Linked DNA regions of Struthio camelus. The protein of the gene in region 3 interacts with the protein of the main gene of each other region in a pairwise test. Links are inferred from orthologs where the notes say so. Each region holds a gene or a part of one and is shown on either strand. Other genes may lie near its edges. The genes, in order: GRB2, PPARA and EP300.

Evidence for each region.
Region 1: the proteins of EP300 (region 3) and GRB2 interact in a two-hybrid assay, tested with the Homo sapiens proteins (2 studies listed by BioGRID and IntAct). The link is inferred for Struthio camelus from reciprocal best matches to the Homo sapiens genes EP300 and GRB2.
Region 2: the proteins of EP300 (region 3) and PPARA interact in a two-hybrid assay, tested with the Homo sapiens proteins (3 studies listed by BioGRID). The link is inferred for Struthio camelus from reciprocal best matches to the Homo sapiens genes EP300 and PPARA.

Annotation. Positions count from the first base shown.
Region 1 is NC_090960.1:8,334,763-8,342,726, reverse strand, and holds the start of GRB2 (growth factor receptor-bound protein 2), read left to right. Parts: upstream 1-4,894; 5' UTR 4,895-4,979; intron 4,980-5,893; 5' UTR 5,894-6,076; intron 6,077-6,797; exon of another isoform or gene 6,798-6,933; intron 6,934-7,964. UniProt on the Homo sapiens protein: Non-enzymatic adapter protein that plays a pivotal role in precisely regulated signaling cascades from cell surface receptors to cellular responses, including signaling transduction and gene expression.
Region 2 is NC_090942.1:80,656,339-80,663,666, forward strand, and holds the start of PPARA (peroxisome proliferator-activated receptor alpha), read left to right. Parts: upstream 1-4,307; 5' UTR 4,308-4,557; intron 4,558-4,754; exon of another isoform or gene 4,755-5,012; intron 5,013-5,105; exon of another isoform or gene 5,106-5,504; intron 5,505-5,588; exon of another isoform or gene 5,589-5,778; intron 5,779-5,991; exon of another isoform or gene 5,992-6,150; intron 6,151-7,328. UniProt on the Homo sapiens protein: Ligand-activated transcription factor. Key regulator of lipid metabolism. Activated by the endogenous ligand 1-palmitoyl-2-oleoyl-sn-glycerol-3-phosphocholine (16:0/18:1-GPC). Activated by oleylethanolamide, a naturally occurring lipid that regulates satiety.
Region 3 is NC_090942.1:57,018,462-57,025,531, reverse strand, and holds the start of EP300 (histone acetyltransferase p300), read left to right. Parts: upstream 1-3,991; 5' UTR 3,992-4,790; coding exon 4,791-4,884; intron 4,885-7,070. UniProt on the Homo sapiens protein: Functions as a histone acetyltransferase and regulates transcription via chromatin remodeling. Acetylates all four core histones in nucleosomes. Histone acetylation gives an epigenetic tag for transcriptional activation.

The DNA.
Region 1 (7,964 bases), on a different chromosome or scaffold from region 3:
ATTCAGTATTCAGACTGCTGGTTAGCAAAGAACTGCTCGCAATACAGTAACCACCACTTGCAAGTGCCATTTTCTGGCTGCCTTCCGGCTGGCCTATCAATAAAATAAGCCACAAGTCTGGACTCTGCCCTAGTTTTCGGTTCTGTGACCCCTGTCAATGTGCACACACCAAGGGAATGAAGCTATTTTCAGTTGCTTCATCTCCCTGCCTGGCCAACTAGCAAATGCAAAGAGAGGATCAAAGCTACTGGAGCAAAGCTGACAAAGAGGGCTGGGTGTACAAAGGAGGAACATGCACCTTTGTATGCTTTCACACAGCAGCTTGGAGCCTTTAACTTGAGGACCCCCTTCAACATAAGGGGAAGTAAGAAGGAGCTGATTTTTAAGGACAATATGGCCACTGACCAAAAATGAGCTAGAAAAAACTCTATAATTCTTCTTCTAAATTATTTGCAGATCTACCAAAGGATTTATGCACCTTGTTCTCACTTATATGCAAAAATTAAGTGCCTGAATTTTTCTCTGTATCTGGACTTTAAAGGCATAACTATCAGTGGCATGACTGGGTAACTGGGAAGCCAAAGTCACAAAAGCAGAAAAAGAAAAAACATCCTGAGCTGTTTGTGCTAATCCCAGGAAGACTGTATCATCAGCTGTGGTGGGTGGCTGTAGCTGGAGGGAAGGGGGTCATGCACGGAGACAGCTGGGCAGGAGGCTTCATTGCAATGCAGTGAGTGACATTCTGTTTTAGACACCAAGCTGAAATGTGATCTTGAACGTGAAACACACCACTCCTTAAAGTTCAAGGCATATCATTTGCATGTTTAGGAACACCACCCTGAAGTCCTTCAGTGCTATGAAGCAGTGTATACAACAAGGGTGTTAGACATACAAAAGACTGGTTGCAGAGAGGGAATATTCCCTGCCAAGAGAAATTCAAAAGCTGTTATAATGAACAAGGTAATAACAGCTTGTAAAAGTAACGAGTGGTACATCCAGCACTGCCTCATCATCATACATGCTTAGGGCTTCTCCAAAGTCTGAACCAACTGATCTGAAACCCATAAGCAGCTCAGTTTCTCTCATCTTCCCTATTTAAGGTGTGAACAATAGTTAGATTATAGACATTTCAAACAGAGAAAGCAAAGAAGCCACGTCTTTCCTGTGCCAATCTGGATATACAAAACAAGCAAAAAGTTTCATTTTTCAGAGTAGAATTACACTTTTAAAAGGATTTTTATTAAGAGCCAAAAATTCAAAACAAAGCTAGTCCTAGGTATGTTAGGATATCCTATTATTAGCACAACTGTAGCCAAAGGCAAAGACTGGCTACAATGAGAAACAATCTTTCCTAAATTTCTGCACTAGGTTTCTTACTGGAGCCATCTAAAATGTAATGTACCTACTTTCCCCCCATCCCCCAAATACAGGCTCTATCAGAGTAAAAAGCCTGCAAGAATATTTGCAAGAACTATGCCATGCCAATTAAAATCACCTATCTGCACTACAGACACCTTGTGCACAATCAGAAAACACAGCCTCACAGAACGAGGAGCTGAAGCAATTCATGAATTCTGTAGGCAACGGGCAATGCACAGATCTGCAGAGACCTGCAGAATCCTGCATTCATCTGCTCCACCCACTACAAGGCCCTTGGGTGCTCCCCTCCCCTCTATTTCAGGGATCCCTCTAATTCCCACTCTCGCACATGCATCTCCCCATCACCCCTACCCAACAGCAAGGCTATTTTAACTCCCTTCTGTCTGCCTGGGCAGTAAGTCACTCACGCTGTCAACACATTAAACTCTGCCAGACAGCAGGGCAGAAATTAAGTGGGATTGCTTTGGGGGAACATGCTAGTGGGCCTGCTGTGTTAAGCCACAGACAGAGATGCTTGAAGCTGTGGCTGTTCTAACCAGACACCATAGGCTCTGACTGCACCCAGTTTTCCTCAGTCTTCCCTCCATTCTCCTCAGGATGCTGTACATTGATGCCTAGAAGCCAATGAAATTTAGAACTGGCTGATATGGCGTTCAAATTTCAGCATATTCAGGCGATTAGAACCAGCATTCAGTAATCCAGATCTTTCCAAATTAAAAAAAATATTCCTATCACCCTTAACTCACTTCTGCTCAGGAGTGCTCTGAGGGAAGAGCACTTCTCGTAGCCTGATGTGATTATCAAGTGTTTGAAGCATCCTTCTGAATATCAGAAGCAGAGCTTTGCAAGGGTCTATTCAAACATTCATATACCTAATCATCTTTAGAATAACACTGTCGTATGGAAACTACAGATAATAAATAAATGCTATGCTTTCAGATCTTTCATCCAAGGATTTCAAAGCACCACAACCCACTAAACCTCACAACATCAATATGAGATATCAGTGCTGAAATTCAGCAGGAAACTATATAGCATGGTACCTAATGTACAAAATTTATAACATGATTAGTAAAAAAGAAAGATTAGATAATTAAACAACCAATAGACACTTGGAAAGAAAACTGTGTTTCAGAAGCAGCACACACTCCAAGTCTTTGGGAAGAAAAAAAAATCAACTTAATGATAGTGTTTTCCATGAAGTGGTGCATCGCTGATACTTTCATGTTATTTACTGAAAATTCCCAACATGGATGAATCTATAAAAAATGATGGGGAGTCTGAACATCTCTTGCTGCCAAAAGTGAATTCCTCAAGAACAGAAGTCTGATCTGTCACCCAAAATAGAAACACAGGGGAGCAGATAATAACAGAAAAAGCAGCTGCCTTGCAAAGAACGGCTTAGATTAGAGCTGACTGTTTTGATATCAGCAGAACCATACGGTCCTGCTACTCACGAATAGCTGATGTCTGCCTGATAATTTGCAGCATAGGCACATTTGCAGACAGATGGGCTTCCAAAGGTGCATAAAGTGACACTGTCAATTGACTTGAGACCCACTGAGAGTACAAAGTAATTACAGCAAGAGAAATGGCACTTACACTTTTGTCTTCAGCATCTGCCTGTGAAGAACCTAACTTGTCAAATTTGGGGCAAGCTATACTTTCTCTGCCTCGATATTCTTGTGTTACAGGAGGAATATACATATCTGCTTCACAGAGACACTGTGAAGCAAATTCATTAGTATCTGTAAAATAAGTGAGACCCTCCGAATTAGGGTTGTGTATGTGCTAAGTATTATCAACTCACTGGTGGTCAAATGCCTCAGTTGTTCGTGGCTGTGAAGACTCCATAGTGTATTTCAGAGAGACTTCATTTCTCTTGCTAAAATGACAGGAATTAAGAGAGTGCTATCTTGAATCAGTAACAGAATTAAACTTCGGATGAATATAAAATTTGGCTTCCAATTGACAATTATGCCTTTCTAGGGTAATATTAGCTTTTATTCAAATCCTATATGCAGAGAGTTTTCCAGGAAAATTAAGCTCTGACTTCTTCCTTCTTTCTTCAGCGAAGGACTCACACATCAGACTGTTGTTCCAAAAGACAGTGGGGACTTAAAACAGAAACTGGGCAACAAGGAGGGAGGAAGGGGAGTAAGAAATAGCTTTGGTGCACCCATTTCTATCTCAGGTATGCAGCCCTCAGTAACAACATAGGTTTACTTGCAAGATTATGATTGGTAAAACAGGATGCAACACAATTAAAAGAACAGATGTAACACAATTAAAAGAACATATTTATTTTTGTTTTAATTTTGTTCTGGTGAATTAAGAAGTAACTTTACAGATATGATCAAAACAATGATCAGTCTACTTTAATCTATCTTACTGTCTCCACAGAGGCCAATACTGTTTCATATTACGGTATAATAAATCTGAAAGTTATTTGCTGTGCTCATTTTCATTTCTTGGAAGAAAAAAAAAAAAAAAAGAGAGCTTGTGGATTAAAGATAGCTTTTATCTTTTCTGCTTCAGGTACTTGTTTCCTTCTCACAGCCTCTGAGCCCGCCACAGCCACATGTATTCAGCCTGGTTTGAAGGGAAAAATGCAACAAAAGGCCCAAATCTGAATGTCATCAGGGCCCCTCCAGCTTCTGCAGCGGTGGTGAGACATCATCTGCTTTGTGGGATGATGCCTTAAATGAGAACTAAAACATTTTACAGCAGATGTTTGGAAGAATTCACTGCAGAAGTGACAGATGTCATTCATCGTCATGACTTAGTAACTATGGTAACCAGGATTGTATAACTATGTCTATTAACAAAAGTACCGATACACCAGAAAAACTCAAAAAGGTAACAGCCCAAAATAAAATTGTTAAAAGCCCAAATTGCATGTATAGGATCTCCTGGAAAATCAGGAAATTTTTGCTGACCTACAGAGGCCCACAGATAAAAGTGCAGCTTTTTCCTCCTAATTCCAGCTTATAAGTAAGGCTGTTATAAGCATAATTGTTTACAGTAGAGGTAGGCAGAAACACTCTTATAGCAGTGTTTGCCACCTGGAGATATTTAACAAATGCAGTGCTGATGGGCTGGTGCTCTCTAGGAGTTCCCCAGAAGAGGCACGGCACCTGAAGGCCATTAGTAAGATCAAGCTCCTACATACATTCAAAACAAAGCGCAACTGTTATGTAGGAAAGGCATTGACTAGTTCAGTAGATCGTGTATTTTGCCATTCTCACAACAAGTTTCGTTAAAGCTTTGTGATCAACAACTTCTGTACCCTATTTACTGTACACATGGTCCCATATATAATCACAGATAAATCCAACCAACCCAGAGCAAACTCTGCTCCTTGCAGGCCAGGTGGCAGGACTTTCCCTCTGGCCAACCCTACAAAAGGACCTGTCTTTTGGCCAGACCTTCTTGGCCCCAGCCCTGCTCCTGGCCAATCCCCTCCAAGTCACAGGGGTATATAAGCCCTCACAACCCACCCCCTGCTTCTGGGATGTCCTTTTGTTTACAGCAACTCGTTCTCAGGAGTGCTTGCTCTGGCTTCTCATGGTCAGAGTCTGGATAGGAATGTAACAGAGGTAAGGCTGTCCTCAAAGTTATAGAGACTTGATGTGTTTGAGATGTAACATATTGGAGGAAAAAGGGTTGTTTCCTTGGTTCTACTTGTAGTATTAATATATATATTTTTGTGACCTAGGCTAAAAGTACAAATATCTTAACCTTCTCATTAATTAAAAATGTTGATAATGTGTTTGTTAAAAAGCCACAGTTAAGAAACATGTATATGCAAAGGTTTTTGATGTGCTCAGGTAAAAGAGAACAAAGAAATATAAGCTACTACTGCACAGAGCACAGGATATCTTATATAAAACCAGTATAGCCTAAGTACTTATACGCTTCTATTAAGCAGATCTCTTTTGAAAGAAAAACAACTATGCTTGCCAGGTTATTCAAGCTTTGCTATGATACTTGAGCAAGCCCTTTAGTTTAACAGAGTGCAGTGGGCATCAAAGTGTAACACTTTGTTTACATAAAGAATTAAATTTTGGAAAAACCTAAAGTATTTCATAAATGTTATGCACTACACAATTGTATTTCACTGTGTATGAGCTGTATGTTCAAATATGAACTTATTCTACTACAGCAGTTGTAGTATAATAGCTTTTTTTGAAAAGCATGCTATAAAACTTTCCCTCAAAAAAAAAAGAAAATAGTATGTATTACTTGGCAGCTGCCTCAGGAAGATGGGTGAATGCATTAGGCTGGTATCTGCAGCTGTCTTGGTAACTGATAAGACTAATTTGGAAGAAACTTTTTTACAGTATGAGTGTCTTTTTGTGTGGATTGAGACTTAAATGCATAACCAGAACACCCTCTACACCTGTGGGCAGGTTCTCCCTCCTTTTTTGTCTACCTTTTGGGTAGACAGGATTGTCTAAGATAAATTCCTTGTACGGTATGTAATGGGACTTTTAACTGGGGTTTTTTTTAGGCCTTTCCTTATCAATAAATGGCTTGTATTAACCTGAAAGGAGGAAGCTTCTGAACAACTGACAAACAGTAATAACATAATCCAGGAACTACAGAGATCCCAACTTTTGGAGAGGAAAACAAGCGGAAGTCTGAGGCAAAGCAGAATGCCATAGACGCCTGCTGATCAAAAGCCTGCAAGGAGGTAGGAGCAAGAGTGAAGCAAAATGAAACAACCGGCTGTATTAACAGATGGCGGCATTATCCCAGGCTGCCATCTAAGCTTGTAAATGATCTAGGTAAGCAGGTTAAGGGCACTTTATTCAGAATTTTGAATTTTCCCTGAAACCTTCATGTACAGTATGAAGCGTGCCATGACAGCAATGAGCCAGTGAAAGCTAGTTCAGTGTGTTATGCAAACTCCTGTTAGGTCTACTTCAGTTTCCCTTGCTTGCTTTGGGTTTTTTGTGTGTGGCAGTGGGGGCACTTCTCTCACGGGGGGGTGACTTCCCATCCAACTTCCTCCTGGGAGGAGATACTGTGGTGTGCAGGAGCCTGGCTCGAATAAGCAGACTGGCCGGGGCCCCGGTAGCCCCCACAGCTGCCGAAACGCCCTGGCTGCGCGTCCCCCTGGCTAGGGGCAGCCGCACCCACGCGTGCCCCGGGTTGAGGGGAGCGTGGCGGCCTCCGCCCCCGCCGAGGGGCGGCAGGAGAGCCCGAGCCGGGTGCGCGGCGTCTCCCCGCCCCGAGCCGGGGGCGGCCGGAGGCGACGGCGCCGCGGGAGCCCGGGGGCGGCCTGGCCCGGCCCTGCCTCCGGCCTCCCCCGCCGTGGCGACCCGGGTGGGGGCGACACGCCAGGCCCCGCTGCGCGGCGGGTCGGTGCCCGGCCTCGCCCCGCCGCGCCGCGCCGCCCGGCCTGTACTCACCCGCCGCGCCGGGCCGTCTCGGCGGGGCAGCCGCTCGCCCGCCGGGCCTCCCCCCGCGCCGCCGGGGCCGCCATCTGGGTCACTGGCACCCTCCCCCCACCCCGCCAGGGCGCGAGGGACCCGAGGCGGCGCTTCGGGCCCCCCTCAACAAGCCGGCGCCTGGTTGGTGAGACCCCGCGCGGCCGCCCGTACGCGGTGCGGTGATTGGTTAGGCCGGGGTGGCGCGCGAAGCCGAGCATCCGCCCCGGCGGCAGGACGGGGCTGGCTCTGAGGAGGACCTGAGAGGGCGGCCCGCCCTGAGGGCCGGCCGCCCGGCCCCTGCGGCGGCCAGGAGGAACACTGCCGCCACGGCGGCGACTCTGTCCCTCCGTCTCTGCCCGGCTGCTGCGGAGGGGGAGCAGTGCTGGGGGGATGCAGTCCTCCAGGGATGGAGGATCTGTTTTTTTTTTTTTTTTTGGGGGGGGGGGGGGGATGCTGAGCGCCGCCTGGGGCCCCGGTGCTGTGACAGAGGCAGATCATGGCTGGGTGGTGCTGTGGGGGGTGAGGGAGGGGGGCTCCCTGACAGGGCCGTTGCAGGCTTCCCCCTCTGAAAAGCTACTTTTGTCGTAGAGCGGCGGGAGGCTCCTTTGGGAGGCCTCTAAGGAGTCGTGAGGTGAAGGCCCGAGCTGGATGCCAAAGGCACAGGAAGCCAGGCCACACAGTAGGAGCGAACATACTCAGCCAATGATTTGGAGAGACATCTACACTGCTGCAGAGTCTGGGGAGGAAATCGGAGGGGTGTGGTAGAGAGGGCTTGCTTTGCCTCTTTGTACGGAGGTTTGAGGTTTTTTGTGTGTGAATTACAGTAGACAGGCTGACTGGAGAGATGTGTCCCCCTCAGGCTTGATTCTCTTACTGTCCCCGTAGCTCTCTGCAGAGGCTGTGATGCCACAGGTTCCACATGAGGTTTTTCTCTGCAAAACTGATGTTTGTTAGTGTTAAGCTACTGATGACAACCTGACACGGTTATCTTTAATTTTACAGCAATAAAATACAGAACACAAGGAATTCAAATCTTGCATGGTTTTCCTTGTGGATGAGGTTTTGGACAAGAATGTAGCATTTTAGGAGTGTACTCTGTAGTCCTTGGAGACAGCCTACTTTCCATGTTTCAGCTGTATATGTATA
Region 2 (7,328 bases), about 24 Mb from region 3:
AAAAAGAAATAGATAGAAAAGAAATCTCATACTGGAGGAAGAAACCATTCAGATGAGAAGAGAGGGAGGAATTGAACAGTACAGTTCGATCATAAGAGTAATTACTTACTCCGTAAACTATTTTCACATTTGAAAGATTCCCCTACAGTTCCTTGATGTCCTGCAGAAGGTTCAAGTGTGGGCTCGCCTTCAGAAAGAGTGTGGAGGGGGTACTGTTTTCTCCATCTCCTTTAATTTACTCTCAATGTGTACTTCCTCGATCAGTGTAAGAAAGGTGCTTGTTCACCAGTAGCAGTTTTTCCTTAGAAGAATACTTTTTAATTGAAATGGAGAAGTGAAAAAGATGTAATGATGGGTGGAGAGCCTGATCACATTAAGAAAAATTTAATCTAACAGTTCTCATCATTGCTGCCAATGTACCAGCATAAAAAGCATATAAGTTATCAGAGAAATTCTACACATTGTGGGCTATGAAGGGTTAATTGATAAGTTTAAAGCACCATCATCTTATATACAACTGTTCTTACTCTTCTTGCCACAGGAAGAGGGGGATTGACATCTGGAATGTTTGATCTTGATACTCTGACAGATAATGAGTTATTTCTCTAGTAAGTAGAGAGTAATGAGTAATGCCATTTCCAGACAGGATATTTCTGATGGATAAAAATGATCTGAATGATTGAATCCATATCTTACACTGATGAAATGGCATGGTAAACATCTCTTATGAAAGTGAAATACAAGTAACGACTTTAATCACTTATTTTGATGGAAAATGAAATCTTGACATAGATTTAAAAAAAATCTGATATTGAGATAATTTTGTGGCAAAATAGACTTGTGTAAATGTATAACCTGAATCCTGGTTCTATCCATAACCTGTCATGTCGAAATGAGGCAGATGAGCCTGATCTAATTTATCTTAAAATGTTTTCATTTATCACTCTTAGTCTTAGAACTTTGGTCTAATCCAACATAGAGACATGTACCTAAAACCAAACCTTAAAGCCAGCTTGCTCCAGAACAACAAAATGAAGCAGTGCAGGAGTTTCCCGAAGAAAACTGCTGCTACACAAGGACTGAACTGTAGGCATAAAGGAGGGTCAGGGTACATAGATCTCACCGGTCTCCTCTGCTTCACCAGTCTGGGTGTTTTTAAGGGGGTTGATTTGGAGAGGGAGAGCTATTTTTTTAACAGTAATAACAAAAACAACAATAAAAAATACTGTGTTTGCAAGTAACTCACATATTAACTGAAATAAATCAAATATAATCTACTTCCGTTCATTATTACCTGGAGCCTTTGAATTCAAATTATTTTGACCAATCACAAATGTGCAGGATTCAGCATGCACAAAAAGTCTTAAATAACGCTCTGGTGTTTTCTATATGCTTCCGTTAATGACGTCTATTCATAAAACTTGTTCTGTTGTGACAGTCTGGCCACTTAAATTCTTTGAAGAATAAGAATGTGATAAAATTAAAGTAATTTTACTTCAGTAAATAAATGTCAGTTCATTAAAACTTCAGCAGTCAAAAAAAGAGAAACAGGACCAAATATATGGCATTTCAGCTTATAAAATGCTGGGTACTATGTCTGGTCTCTACAGTTGCTGCTGAAGTATATACTTATATGGGAAGGATCTATTTTACTTAAAATAATGACTTTGTTAGGAAGGTCCTTCATGATGACACAGCAAAAATGAGGCACATTGTCTGTTAAAATTCCTATCATCAGATCAGCAGGAGAAACCACAGCAAATATTTGAACGCAGGGTCAGCCCACTTCCTGCATTTTGCCAGTAGTTGGAGGAGGTGGTGAAAGCATAGCGAATTTTTGCTGTTATAGTCCATTTTCCAAACTTATGAATGAGTTTGTGCCTTGTCCTGAATTGAACTGTTAATCTACTTCTACAGTCATAAATGTTACAATATTCAGTATATTTTGATTAAAACTTGCAAAAAAAAAACCCCACCCCATTTTATTACAGAAATGCTACTTGTCACTGTTAAGATCTATGACAAAACCAGCTGGATACTGGAAAGATGGAAAATCAGCTACTGCATAAGTCTGTCTGCCTGTTTCACAACTGTCAATCTATTAAGCAATATTAATATGATTAGTGCATATTAACAGAATAGAACACTAATTAAAGCTTATTTCATCTAAAAGCCTAGTAAGCAACCTAATTTCAGATTTCTAAAAGTTGGCACATTTAAATAGCTAATGGATGTTTATGATACTTAGTGTGTTATTAAGATCTGAACTGTGATATGAATTTATGCAATCAAATCAATAATCTACATTTTAAAAGGGCTTTATGTACAAAAGGATTCAGTATGGTCTCTTGACTAAAGCTGTTAAATGTGAGATAAGTTTTCCATCTTTATTATAGGTATTTTCTGCAACACCAGCCATATTTATGGACAAAATTTATGTAACTTGTTTAAGAGAAAACAGTTCCAAAATAGGACTTAACAAACTTCCTCTCCAGGTCTTGGATAACACAGTCACCTTAGCTGATTCTGCTGGAGACATAGGTTGTTAAGAGTCTGGTTATCAGGTAGTGTGGGATGGGTAATCTATAGCTTATAAACAGGAAACAGCCCACAACTCATTCTAAATCACAAAAAATTATTTTTGTATTTTTACTGCATTTTGGGTTAATTTAGTGTTACTGTGTGACCCTGGGCGAGGTATATGAAATGTCTATTTGAGCCTCAAAAAGAGAGCTGATCTCTTTAGCTAGGAAAAAGCCCACAGTGTGGAGGTGTTCTCACTAGAAATGACTAAGTCCCGACCGTGGTAGATCTCTCAAATTTGTAACTTCCAATGGCAAAAGCCCACAACCTTGCTAAGTGTGTGTGTGTGGGGGGGGGGGGGGGTCCCCCCGCCCGGGAATTTCACTATAGTGTTCGTACAATGCCATCTTTGGTAACAACAGTAGAAGTATGTATGCAAAATGACCACCTAAATCTCGTCCAAAAGTTCAATACGGAAATCAAAGGAAAGTGTTTGTGCTCTCCACAGCTTCCTTGACAAAGCAAGGGGGAAACATCTTTAAGGGCTGATTACACATGCAAATTAAAACATTATATATATGTTTTTTAACTGTATTCTTTCTGTTTGTGTATATTTTCAGGAAAAATAAAATAAAAACAAGAAAAGAAATAAAACCGAACGGAATGAAAAGCACACCTGCTCGGATAACATCTTTTATGGAAATAGGCCCTGATCCTTGTTGCTGGCTGAGCTGTATTACACATCGTCTGTGGGGTGGGATATGTAGGTGTAAACTTGGACGTTAACTTTTTAAAGCAGCTGAATGCTTGTGGCATTGGGTGTTGGCCTGCCTTGGGGTAGAAATTGGAGCAGCACTACTAATCAGTAGAAGTCAGCTTGTTACCAGAGCCAATATAGCATTTTGAAATATTTTGGAAAGAAACTTGAATTACTGTAAATAAGGGCTTTCGTTAGCTTCTATTTTCTGCTGTTGATACTATGTTTTATTGATCTATACTGAGATATGCTTTCTGGATGTTTTTCATCTTCTGTCATTACTGATGATTCTACATTGAACGCTCTAATGTGCAGATCTGTGTGTTTGAGCTCAAGGTTGAGAAATTTATGGAATTAAATATGATGCTTGCAGTAGTACAGACTGAGTTTCCAGGACAGAGTTTCCTTTTCTTCCTTTCTGGTCCTATGTGTCTCCCTTCTGAATGGCCACAAACTATGATTCTGTGAAAGGGTAAAAATAAGCAAAACCTATGTGTGTAGGCTTGCTAGGCATAGAAGAGGTTCATATCAGAAACATCTGAAATAGGTCATGTTTTCTCGTATTGGCATCCACGTAAAGACTGATCTAGTCAACAATAAGGTGCCTTTTCTTTCAAATGGAATGATAAAATAAAAGTAAAAATGCAATTAAAAAATTGATGATGGCCAGGAGGATAATCAAGAAATGTGATATCCATGAAGCAGTCAAAGAGTAGAAATTTCTGTTAAAAAGAAAGAAAAAAAAGGATTATCTTTTAAAAACAATGTATTTATACTTTTGGGTGCCTTTTGAAGACCTTCAGTCCCTGAGAGACTGAAGAAATCAGTCATGTACAGACAATTTTTCTTCAGGATTTTGTGTTTTGTGGAGGATTTTGTGTTTTGTGGGTGTGTGTGTTGTTTTCTAGGGGTTTTGTGTGTGTGTGTGTGTGTGTGTTTGTTTTTTGGTAGCTGTTCCCTGTAATAACTTTCTAAACTAAATAATACCCCTTAAAAAAAAAAAAAACAGCTGCAGGTAGCCAGCAGCCTCCATCCGGCGCGTGGGTCAGGAGGATGCCGCTGGAGTGGGCCGCCCTGTCAGCCTGTAACGCCGAGCCGCCCGGGCCGCTGCTGCTGTGCCCCAGGCAGCACACCCAACCCGGTGGTACCCCGTTTCCTGACGGTGCTCCGCATCAAAGGCGAGCCCCAGCTTTTCCAGTGCAAGCGGCCCGGACTCGGGACGGAGCTGGGTCGGCGGCTCGACCTCCCCACCAACAGCGGACCCTCCCGCGCCACAGGTTTTTAAAAAAAAAAAAACACATAGGTGCCCGGGCAATGTCAGCGCCCTGCCGGCCCGCGGCGGGCCGAGCCGTGCCGGGGCGGTGAGCCCTGGGGAGCCCCCGTCCCCCGCGAGCGCCCGCTGCGCGGCGGGGACCAACGGCCGCCGGGGACCAACGGCCGCCGGGGCCAGCGCGCGGCGTGGCGGCGGAGGGGTGGGGGGAGGAGGGAGGGGACCGGCGGGCAGGCGCTGGGCGCTCGCCTCACGCGTGACCGGGGATGAGGCGCCGGCCCCGGCCCCGGCCCCGCTACCTCTGCGTGTGACCGGGCAGCGCTGCGTGCGCCGCTCCTTCACGTGAGCGCCGCGACCTGGCCGCCGCGCTCCGCAAATAGCTCGGCGGGCGGATAAGAGGCAGGCAGAGCCAGCCCAGACTTTGTTCCCGGGCAGATGCCTTCGCCCGCTCAGCCAGCGCCGGTTTGTCTCTTGACTCTCTCGCGTTTTCTTTGCCCTTGACCGAAGCTTGCGGGCGGGCCGGGCTCGGCTTCCCCCCTCCTCCCCCCGCCCCGCGCTCCGGGGGGCGGTGAGCGTCGCCGCCGGGGCCCTGAGGGGCGGCGCGGGCGGCCGTTACCGCGGGCGACCGCGGTGCGCTGGCGGCGAGGGCGGCACGGGACCGTACCCGCCGGGCTGCCCCGGGCGCGTTTTCCCGTTGGGCTTTTCCCTCTTATTTCTTCGTTTTTTGGTTTCAGCTCATCGCCGGGTGAGTCTCCCGCGGGGTGGGGGGTGGGGGGTCACGGCGGCGGGGGGTGGGGTGCGGGGGGCGCGCGGAGGCCTCCGCCCTCCTCCCCCCTCCACAGGTTTCTCCCCGCGGAGCCAATAGCAGGCGGCCATTGTGGGAGGTGTGTGCCGCGACCTCACTTCCGGTACCTGTCACCCTGCCGCCCCGCGTCAGTCAGACTCGGGATTGGGGTACTTCTGCCCCCCCCTCCCTGCCCCGTTGGGGTGTGCGCGCTGGGCGGCCGCCGGCGGCGAGGGGGTGCGCCCGCGCTGGCCGCGGCGGTTGGCGCGGGCGAGCCGAGCCGAGCCGAGCCCTGCGCGCCTCCCGCGGCGGATTGCGGCCGGGGACGCGGCGGCGCCGACCCGACCCGGCCTGGCCCTGCCCTGCCCCGCTCCGCTCATGGGCCGCCGGCGTCTGCGGGCAGCAGCGCCGAGCCGCCTGCCCGCCGGCCGGCAGTAATGCACGGTATTAGCGTCGGCAGCGCAGAGCCTGCCTGCGTCCCTCGCTTGGGCTTCGGCGGGGAGGGGGCACGGGCAGTGGGAGCGGGGTCTCTGTCTCGCTAAAACGGCGGCAGTTGAGCTAACGACTTGGTCTTCCTTCCCTCCCCCCCCCCTTTTTTTTTTTTGGTCGTTGTGTTTTGAAACGTTCTGCAAACCCGTGGTGGCGGCGGTGGCAAAGGCGAGGAGAGAGAGTTAGCTGGTTTGGGGAGATGCTTTAGCCATTACTGTTGCTGCGCTCGGGCTTCACGCCTCCGCTTTGCCTGTGTGGGGAGCCGCGGTGGGAGGCGCCCCGAGGTCACAGGGGTTAAAGAACCAGCAGGAACCAGCCCTGGCAGAGGTTAGTGTTTATGGCTAAAGAGCAATCTGGGAAACTTTATGGGGAGACTTCAGGGTGTTGGGGGAAGGGGAAGAGAGAGAGGGAGAGAAAGAGAAGTCCTGTCTTTTAAAAAGTGCTTTTTTGCTGTTGCAGTATCTCCTGAACACAGCACATATAAATTGTCCTTACCTAGTTTGAGAAAGCAACATATGCGCCGGATGGAAGATAAGGTGTTTGGAGGTTATCCTTCAGACAGGTTGTGCTTTTACCATGCAATTGGCCGGATTTATCCTTGGACGGAGGAGTGGGTCAGTGGCAGCTCCCCCTAGATTTGTTTTTGTGGTTTGACAAGAAAAACGTGTTCTTGATTGTCCCTATAGGCCTGTCCACTTGTTTTCTGAAAGAGTGGAAAAGATAGCATTCACATAGAAATGGAAAGAAGTGTTAAAAGGTCTTGTTTTTAAGTTGGAAATGGCCTTGTCTATTCATATTAAGATTAGCCCCATCTCACTGGTGTGAGTAGCTATTTCTAAGCTCTCAAATGGAAGATGTGTGAGGACAGGATTATTTGAAATAATGATGTCTGACACTTCTGTGGCATTGGATGTCATAGAAGTACTGCACACATGAAGAAGTTGCATAAGTTTTGCTGGGAAGCAAAGGTTTCATCAACCTGTTCTTGTATTGTAGAACACGAACAAACTTTCTTATAAGTATCTAACACTAAATATCGGGCTGAAACTTGCTTTTTTTTTCCAGGCAGCAAAGTCAATCCTTTTCAAATTTTGAACCGCTATGTTAATACTGAGGATACCTGCTCTCATACTGAAACTGACAGCAGTGGTGGTTCCTGTGATGTGGTCACAAGTCCACTCAGAGCTAAACCAGTATCATAATTTTGTTATTTCCCGTGAGCTATCAAACAGCCTTTGGCTGCTAGTTACTTTTAATGGCAACTTTTTGGATTTAAGTAGCACAATGTATTTCGGAAGGATGAGTGTGTGAACTGACCTTATCAGACGTTTGTAGAACTGTGTAGACAGCAGGCTCTTTTTCTTTTTCCGTGTATGGAAGGAGCACTTGACATCGTCCAAAAAAAAGTTCTTATCAATCTCCTGATGCTTTATATTGAATCTCATCCTCTATAATCAAGTGGCCTAGGGAGTTTTGATTACCTATTATGATCTTGTACGTCATGA
Region 3 (7,070 bases):
TCAGTCCTTTCCTGCTTGTTCATATAGGCATATGTATTTGCTTCTTAGTGTGCTTTATGTTTTATTATGATTTTCCAGTAACAATGCATGTTATTATTTTGACAGGGAGCACTTAGAAGCAGCTGGTTGTGTGCATATGTATTGAGGTTCATTAAAGAAGACCTCAGTGTATTTAGCAAAAATCAATAGGTGCTGAAATCTTTTTCCTGTTTTTTCCTTGACCCTCTCTTCCTAGGTTTTCCTTTTTTTTTTCCTCCTTTTCTCTTTAGAGTGGCTTTCTTTCTCAGAAACCGCAAGTAGCATCTCATCCTGCTACTTTTTAATTTATATTCCTCATATTTCAGCTTACGTTTAAGTCTCTAATGTGGAAAGCCAACTGAATATGACTTCCTGATATATAAAGAATTAAGGTATTCTTCTGGTCGTGGAACTAGTAAGGCAGATGTATTGTATTAATATATCAGTTAATTACTTACATTCATAGCTCATATTAAGGATATAGATGTTGTTTGGGTAGCATTCAGCAAAGGGTGTGTGTTTTCCACGGTTCAGATAGGCTAGATGCTACCTTCACTGAACTCACTCCAAGGATAAATAGATAGATAGCCAGAGCAGAAGGGAAGGTGCACAAAAAAGGTTTTATTTTGTTTTTCTTTTTCAGCTTTCACTGTTACTTAGCTAAACAACTAACTGATCCACATGATACCCTCTGGAGTAACAACTCACTACTCAGTCCTTTAACTTTTATTTCTCAGGTTGTGATCCTGCAAGCACACATGTGCTTGGTTTTACTATGGTGAGTAGTACAGTGAGATTTCAGTGGAACTATGTGCTAAATAAAACTAAGCACACATGCAACTATTGGTAGGATCAAGTCTCTAGATAGGAACTAGTGTCACAAAACTTTTATTTGAAACATCTGCTTTGCTCCAAGCTTGTTGTTTAGTAAGGACCAGACTTTTAAAAGTATTTAGGTGTTTATGTGCACCTTGGTGTCTTTATAAAGCTGGCACTAATTCCTTATTGAAGTACGCATTAAGGGCCTCTAGAGAGTCTGAAAACCTTATATAGACTGATTTGAGTCAACTTTTAATTCTAAGGAGACTTTAAAAACAGTTAAAATTAATCTCAGCTGTGTTTAAAAAAAAAAGCGCTTCGCAAGCAAGGGAAAGAGTCAATCTGGCGAAATAAATTGAGGTAATACAAGACTTCTGTAACTCTGAAATATTTCTGAGAGCGTTAGTAGCCATAACAGGTGGAAAACCTGTGAGAACCGTGCGTAGTTTCTAAGGTGAGGCTGTTACTTAGTCGTTCTTGCAAGGCACCCTCCAGCTCTCTTCTCAAACGGACAGATTTGCGCCCCTGCCTATGTCTCCGAGACTTTTCGCCGAGGAGAAGACACGCAGAACCTTTCGGAGCAGCTTGAGCGTAACCCGCTTCGCGTTTTTTCCCCTTTTGTGCCGGGGGGGAAGACAACAACCACAACCACCTTGCCCGAAATAAAGCCGAAACAAGGGAAACTCAAGCGTGGGAGTGAGTATGTGCGCGGGAAGCTGGTGGGTAACTGTTAGAGGGCTGCGAATCTCTACTCCTTCCTTCTCGCCCTCTCCTCTCCTGTGGTGTTTATGCTGTTGCTTGTAATAGGCTCTTGCCCAAACACCTGGTACAGGTCTTACAGGCAGAATGGCAGAAAACTCAATTCTGAGTGTGGGTGGTAAGAAAAAAAAAAAAAGGGGGGGAGAGGGGGAAGGACTGAGCACTCCCTGCCTTAAAGGCCTCCCGAATCTTGCACAGCGAGGAACAAGACGAGGGGATAAAACAACCTCTAACCTCCTCCCCAGTTCGTGTATTTTAGGAAAAAAAAAAAACACAAAAATCGCAAAAAAGAAGTCAGCGTTCGGGAGGCGAAGGGGAATCGGTTCGCAGGAGCTGATGCGCAGGGCGCTGGTTCCTCCCAAACGGCCCACCCCGCTCACATGAAATCGCGGTTTTTCCCATTAAAAACATAGGCAGGCCTGCCTCCCCTTCCCGTTCTTGTCGCAGAAGGGTGTAAAACCGGGGCGGGGGGGGGGGGAAGCCCAAACACCCCCCCCAAACAAAAAAAAAGGCTAGGAAGGGGTATTTCCTCGCTAATGATGGCTGATGAGGGCTTAAAGACTTGAGAAACTCCTGGCCAGCCCGTAATCCCCACTAAGCTCTAAAATGGCTCGGCGACGGTTATCGAGGAGCGCGTCAACGTTACCTACCACTGCCCACAGCCCAGGAGCGGCCTCGCACCGAGCCCCAGGGGAGCCGGCGCCCTTTCAGGCCGCTCCTTCACCCCCCCCCACCCCCCGTTTCCTTTCATCTAGGCATCGCTTTTGGCCAGAAACTCCGGTTTTATGTGATGTTGACGTAGCTCCGGTCACTGGGGGGGGGAGGGGGGAAGTTTATTGAAAAAGGGAGAACAGGTATCTTGGGGATTCACTGCTCGCCAGGCCCCTTTTTTGCGGGGCAGACTCGGCGAGAAGAGGCCTGGCAGGGCCGCCCTGCCACAGCCGGCCGGCCTGCCCCGAGCCGCCGCCGCCGCCGCCGCGCACTTTTTGGCCGACACAAAACAGGGGCGGGGGAAGGAGGAAGATAGAAGAAGCTTCCTCCTTCCTTCCTCCCCCCCTTCCCTTAACGCGTTGCCTTTAAGGGGCGGAGTGAAGGGAGTTTGCGGAAGCGCCCGGCGAATAGCGGGCGCTGATAGGCTGGCCGCGGTCTCGTGACGGGCCGCCGCCGCTCCGGGGTTCCCCCTCCCTCCCGCAGCACGCAAGCCCCCCGCGTTCCATTGTGTGCGCCAGCGCCGCCGGGCCCCGCCCCCAAGCCTGGCCCCGCCCCCTTTTCTCTCTCTCCCTCCCCCCCCCCTTTGGCTCATTTCCGGCCGCCGCCACCGCTGCTCGCTTCCCCTCTGAGGACTCGGGAGAGTGAAGAAACAACAGCCGCCATTTTGTTTGTGTGTGAGCGACTGAGGGAGGGAGCGAGAGACCGAGCCGGACGGGGCGAGCCAGGGGGAGGGCAGCGCAGAGAGACCCAGGGGCCCGGCCAGGGGACGGGGAGAGAAGAGAGAAGCTGAGACGCCCGCCCGGCCTCCCCCCCCCCTCCGCTAGCCTGCCCCTCCTCTCTCTTTATCTCTTTTTCTTTCCTCCCCCCTCCTTTTTTTTTTTTTATTTTTTAAGATTTCTTTCCCCTTTCCTCTCTGCCTTTCCTTCTCCCTTGCGCCCCCCGCTTCTGCCCGCCCCGCCGCACACGCCACAGGAGCGGCCGCCGCCGAGCGCCAGGCAGGGGCAGTAGGGAGCCTGCGCTCGGCCCCCGCGCTCCCAGCGCCGTCCCGCCCCAGCCCCCCCCCCCCGCCGCCGGGGAGCGCCGAGGACCCCCTCCCCCTCCCGGGGCGAGCCCCCCGCCCTCCCCCAGCCCCGGTTTTCTTTTATTATTTTAATTTTAATCTCTCTCTCTCGCTGACCGGCTTCTTCCCCCTCTCTTCCCCGCCCTCCTCCCCCCCCCTCACCTACCAAGCTCTTCGCTTCCTTCCCCACCCTCGCAGCGGCCGGGAGGGAGTCCCCGCCGCGCCCCGGCAGCGGACGAGGCTTTTTCGCCCTCGCTTTTGCGCCCGCCGCCCCCTGCCTCCGCGGCAGCCCCCTCCCTGCCCGGAGCCAGCGCTCGCCACCATCCTCAGGCACCCGGGAGGGGGGAAGGTAGGCAGAGGGGGGGGAGGGGCCGGCTGCTGCTCCTGCTGCCTCCTCCTCCTCCTCCTCCTGCTCCTGCCGCCGCTGTTGCTGCTGCTGTGGGATCGGCCCCCTCTGCCTGCGCTGGAGGGGGGGGCACCCTGCTACTGAGAGCGAGAGAAAGAGGAAGGGGAAAGAAGAGAAGAAGGGAGGGGGGGCAGAGAGGGTGTTGAAACCCGCCCCCCACCTTCCCATCCCGCGATCGGTGCTGCCTCCATCAGGACAACAACCCCGCCTTCTTCCCTGCACAACAAGATGTGAAGCGGAGACTCCTGGGACTTATCCTCACCCTCCTCATCCTTACAGCTCCCCTTTCTGCAGCCATTAGTGACTGGCGAGGAAGAAGCGAGGGGAGCTGGGGACCCCGCGCACGCTCGGCCTCTTTCGCCTCCTCCTCCCCCCCAGCCCTGTCGCTGGCGGTGGGTATTTTTTTGCAGGGTGGTGTTGGAGGGGGAAGGAGCCGCTGCTAGAGGACGGTGATCTTTTTTTCTTTTTTCCTCCTCCTCTCCCCTCCTTCGCCCGCCTCCTTGTGGCGATGAGGAGGAGGAGGACGGCGCCGAGGAGGAAGAGGCTGATGACGGCGGTGAGGAGGCAGCAAGAGGAGGAGACCCCCCGAAGGATGAAGATGATGATGGTGGCGGCGGCGCGGAAGCAACAGCAGCACAACAGCCGGGATTAATTTTACTAAAAACCCACCAGCCTCTTTCTCCCCCCCCCCTCCTTTTTTTCTTTTTTTTTTTTTTTTGGCGGGGGCTTTACCAGCTCTTCCCATCTTCGCTCTGCCCTTTCGCCTGGGGGAAGAGGCCTCTTCCCCTCGCTGCTCCCCACCTTCTCCCCGCTTCTCCGCTGCCGCCCTCCCGGAGCCCGAGCCCGAGGGGCAGAAAAAGGGGAACTTGGCCCCCTCCTCCGGCAGATCCTTCTCGCTCGCTCTCGTCGTTATTGTTGTTCTTCAGCTGACTCGGGGCCTGGGAAGAAGGTGAAGGTTTTGCCCCCCCCCTCCCCCGGTCTCTTTACTCTGAGTGATTGTCTAAAAAAGAATTAAAAATGGCCGAGAATGTGGTGGAGCCGGGCCCGCCTTCAGCCAAGCGGCCTAAACTCTCCTCACCGGCGCTCTCCGTGTCCGCCAGCGACGGCACAGGTCAGTCTCGGGGGCCCGGGCTCTCAGCCTCTTGGTGCCACAAATTACTGCCCTTTTCTCTCCTCTCTTGCCTAAATCGCCTCCTCCCTTTTGCTTCTTTAACTTGTTCCTTCCTTTCTCCTCTCTGTCTGTGATTTCTCCCTTTTTCTTTCTTTTTGCTCTTATTTGTGTTAATGCCGTAGGAGGAGGGTGTTCGGCTATTTCAGCCCTTTTATTTTTTGGAAGTGATTGAAAGCAAAGCTGTTCAGTTTATTGTGCTTTTGATCAGTCACAGATAAGAATTAACAGTTTGTCATTTTCTTGTCTTTCATAATAGTAATTATTTCAGAGCTCCTCGTTAAGCATATGCATTTAATTCCAGTTGCAGAAATATGAAATATTGCTTACAATGATGCTTTTGTACACTTTATTGTCGATTTCTGTGTGTATGTTTGCATATACACACACACACAAATACATGCCTGTTTCTTATTTTATTTTGCCTGTATGTACGGTGTTTTTATAACTCGTTTAGAAACATGAGATTTATTTCTCTATTCTTTTTCTTTTACCCTCTTAACAGGCACTCCGGTTATTTGATTTACTTTTTACAATCCTTCTTACTCTTCCTTGCACAAGGATTTCTAAAAAAAAAAAAAAAAAACCTGTTTTTTATTTCAAATAGACTATCGATTTAAGGAAAAAAACAACAACTAAAAACAAAATCCAGATTGCAAGTTTGGGGCTTAAGGCTTATCAAGAGCCTTAGCATTGTAGAAACAAAATATTATTTCACCTTATTTGCATTAAGAACCAATATGGAGTGCAATTCATTCTGCATCTCCCATTTCTTTGCTGCGAGAGCAAAATGTCTGAAATTCCCCTGTAGACTTATGGGTTGGGAAGATAAAGGGGCTTCTCTGCAATCCTGCAAAGATCTTTGGTGATGTTTTAGTAGGGAGGAATAATCTGCTCTGTGGAAACTCCAGAGTTGCTGTGGAGTCAAGCTAGAGGCTGGAAGTCTCCGGTGTCCCCATCCCTAGCAAACATGAACTGGTTGTACTGGGAAGGGAGAGGGAGGTAACAAAGGGCTGCTCTGCTTTTTAATGCTTCTTGTGAAGCAGATGAGCATTTAGTGTCATTTTGCTCTGAAAGTACTTGGTTACCTATCCCACAGGAGTTTCCTTAAACTCACTTTAGATCATCTTAGCCTATGGGAGTTGGAGGAGGCTGCCTTCTGCAGAATCTGATGAGAGATGGCGTTCCTGGTGCCACCAGTCTTAGTCACTGCAGTTAGATCTGTGAAGAAAAGGAAGAGTTAAAAAAAAAAAAAGCTGATCGTTTGACAGTAAACAGGAGGTTTAAATACCCAGTTTTTGGCTCAGCACGGGGTGTGATTCCAGTTTGAATCATCTTAAAAATTTTGATTTTTGCCTTCTCTTTATTCTTGGTGAATGACACATTAGTTTTAAAAAAAAAAAAGTTTATGTGTAACTTTCAGAGCATTTTAGTTATAGGCAGTTTTGTGTTGTAACTGGAGCAGATGACTAGTCTTGATATCAACAGGTCTCTGGTAAGAGAGTAGGAGAGGGTTGGAGGAGCTCTTCAGCTACAGCTAGTTGTGGAGGTTTTTTTACACTAGACTTGGAAAGCAGTACTTAATTCAGTAGTAATCGTTTTCATTCTTTCTCTTGACAGGGTTGGCCTTGCTCTGTGTAGGTGGCTAAATAAAAGATGGGTTTTGTGAGAGAAGCCCTGATGCTTGAAAGTAGGAAAGTTGGAGGGTTGTTAGATGAATACAAGTATCAAAGTTAAGGCATTTGCGATCAGATAAGATTTGTGTAAAGTGGATTTATTTCAGTGTAAGAGGTGCAGATTTTCTCAGAATATTTAGTTTCTTTTAATTGTTAGTCTACTGGACAGTTTAATTGGCGATCTTTTTATATTTATGGTGAAACACACTAGGGATTATTGGACAAATTCAAAGGAATTCAGATATGACATTGTAGTGTGCAAAACGGGATACATTTTTTTGAAGTTGTTGAGATTGTCATCACCTGCTGGCTATCCAGAGGTTTTTAATGGTGCAAATATTTCATGTATGTTACAAAGAACTGTTGAAGGGTTCTCATTCTTGTGCACTTTGTTTGCAATTTATTACCTGGATTTAGCACACTGCCACTTTCTGTGTTTTTAATATGATGTGA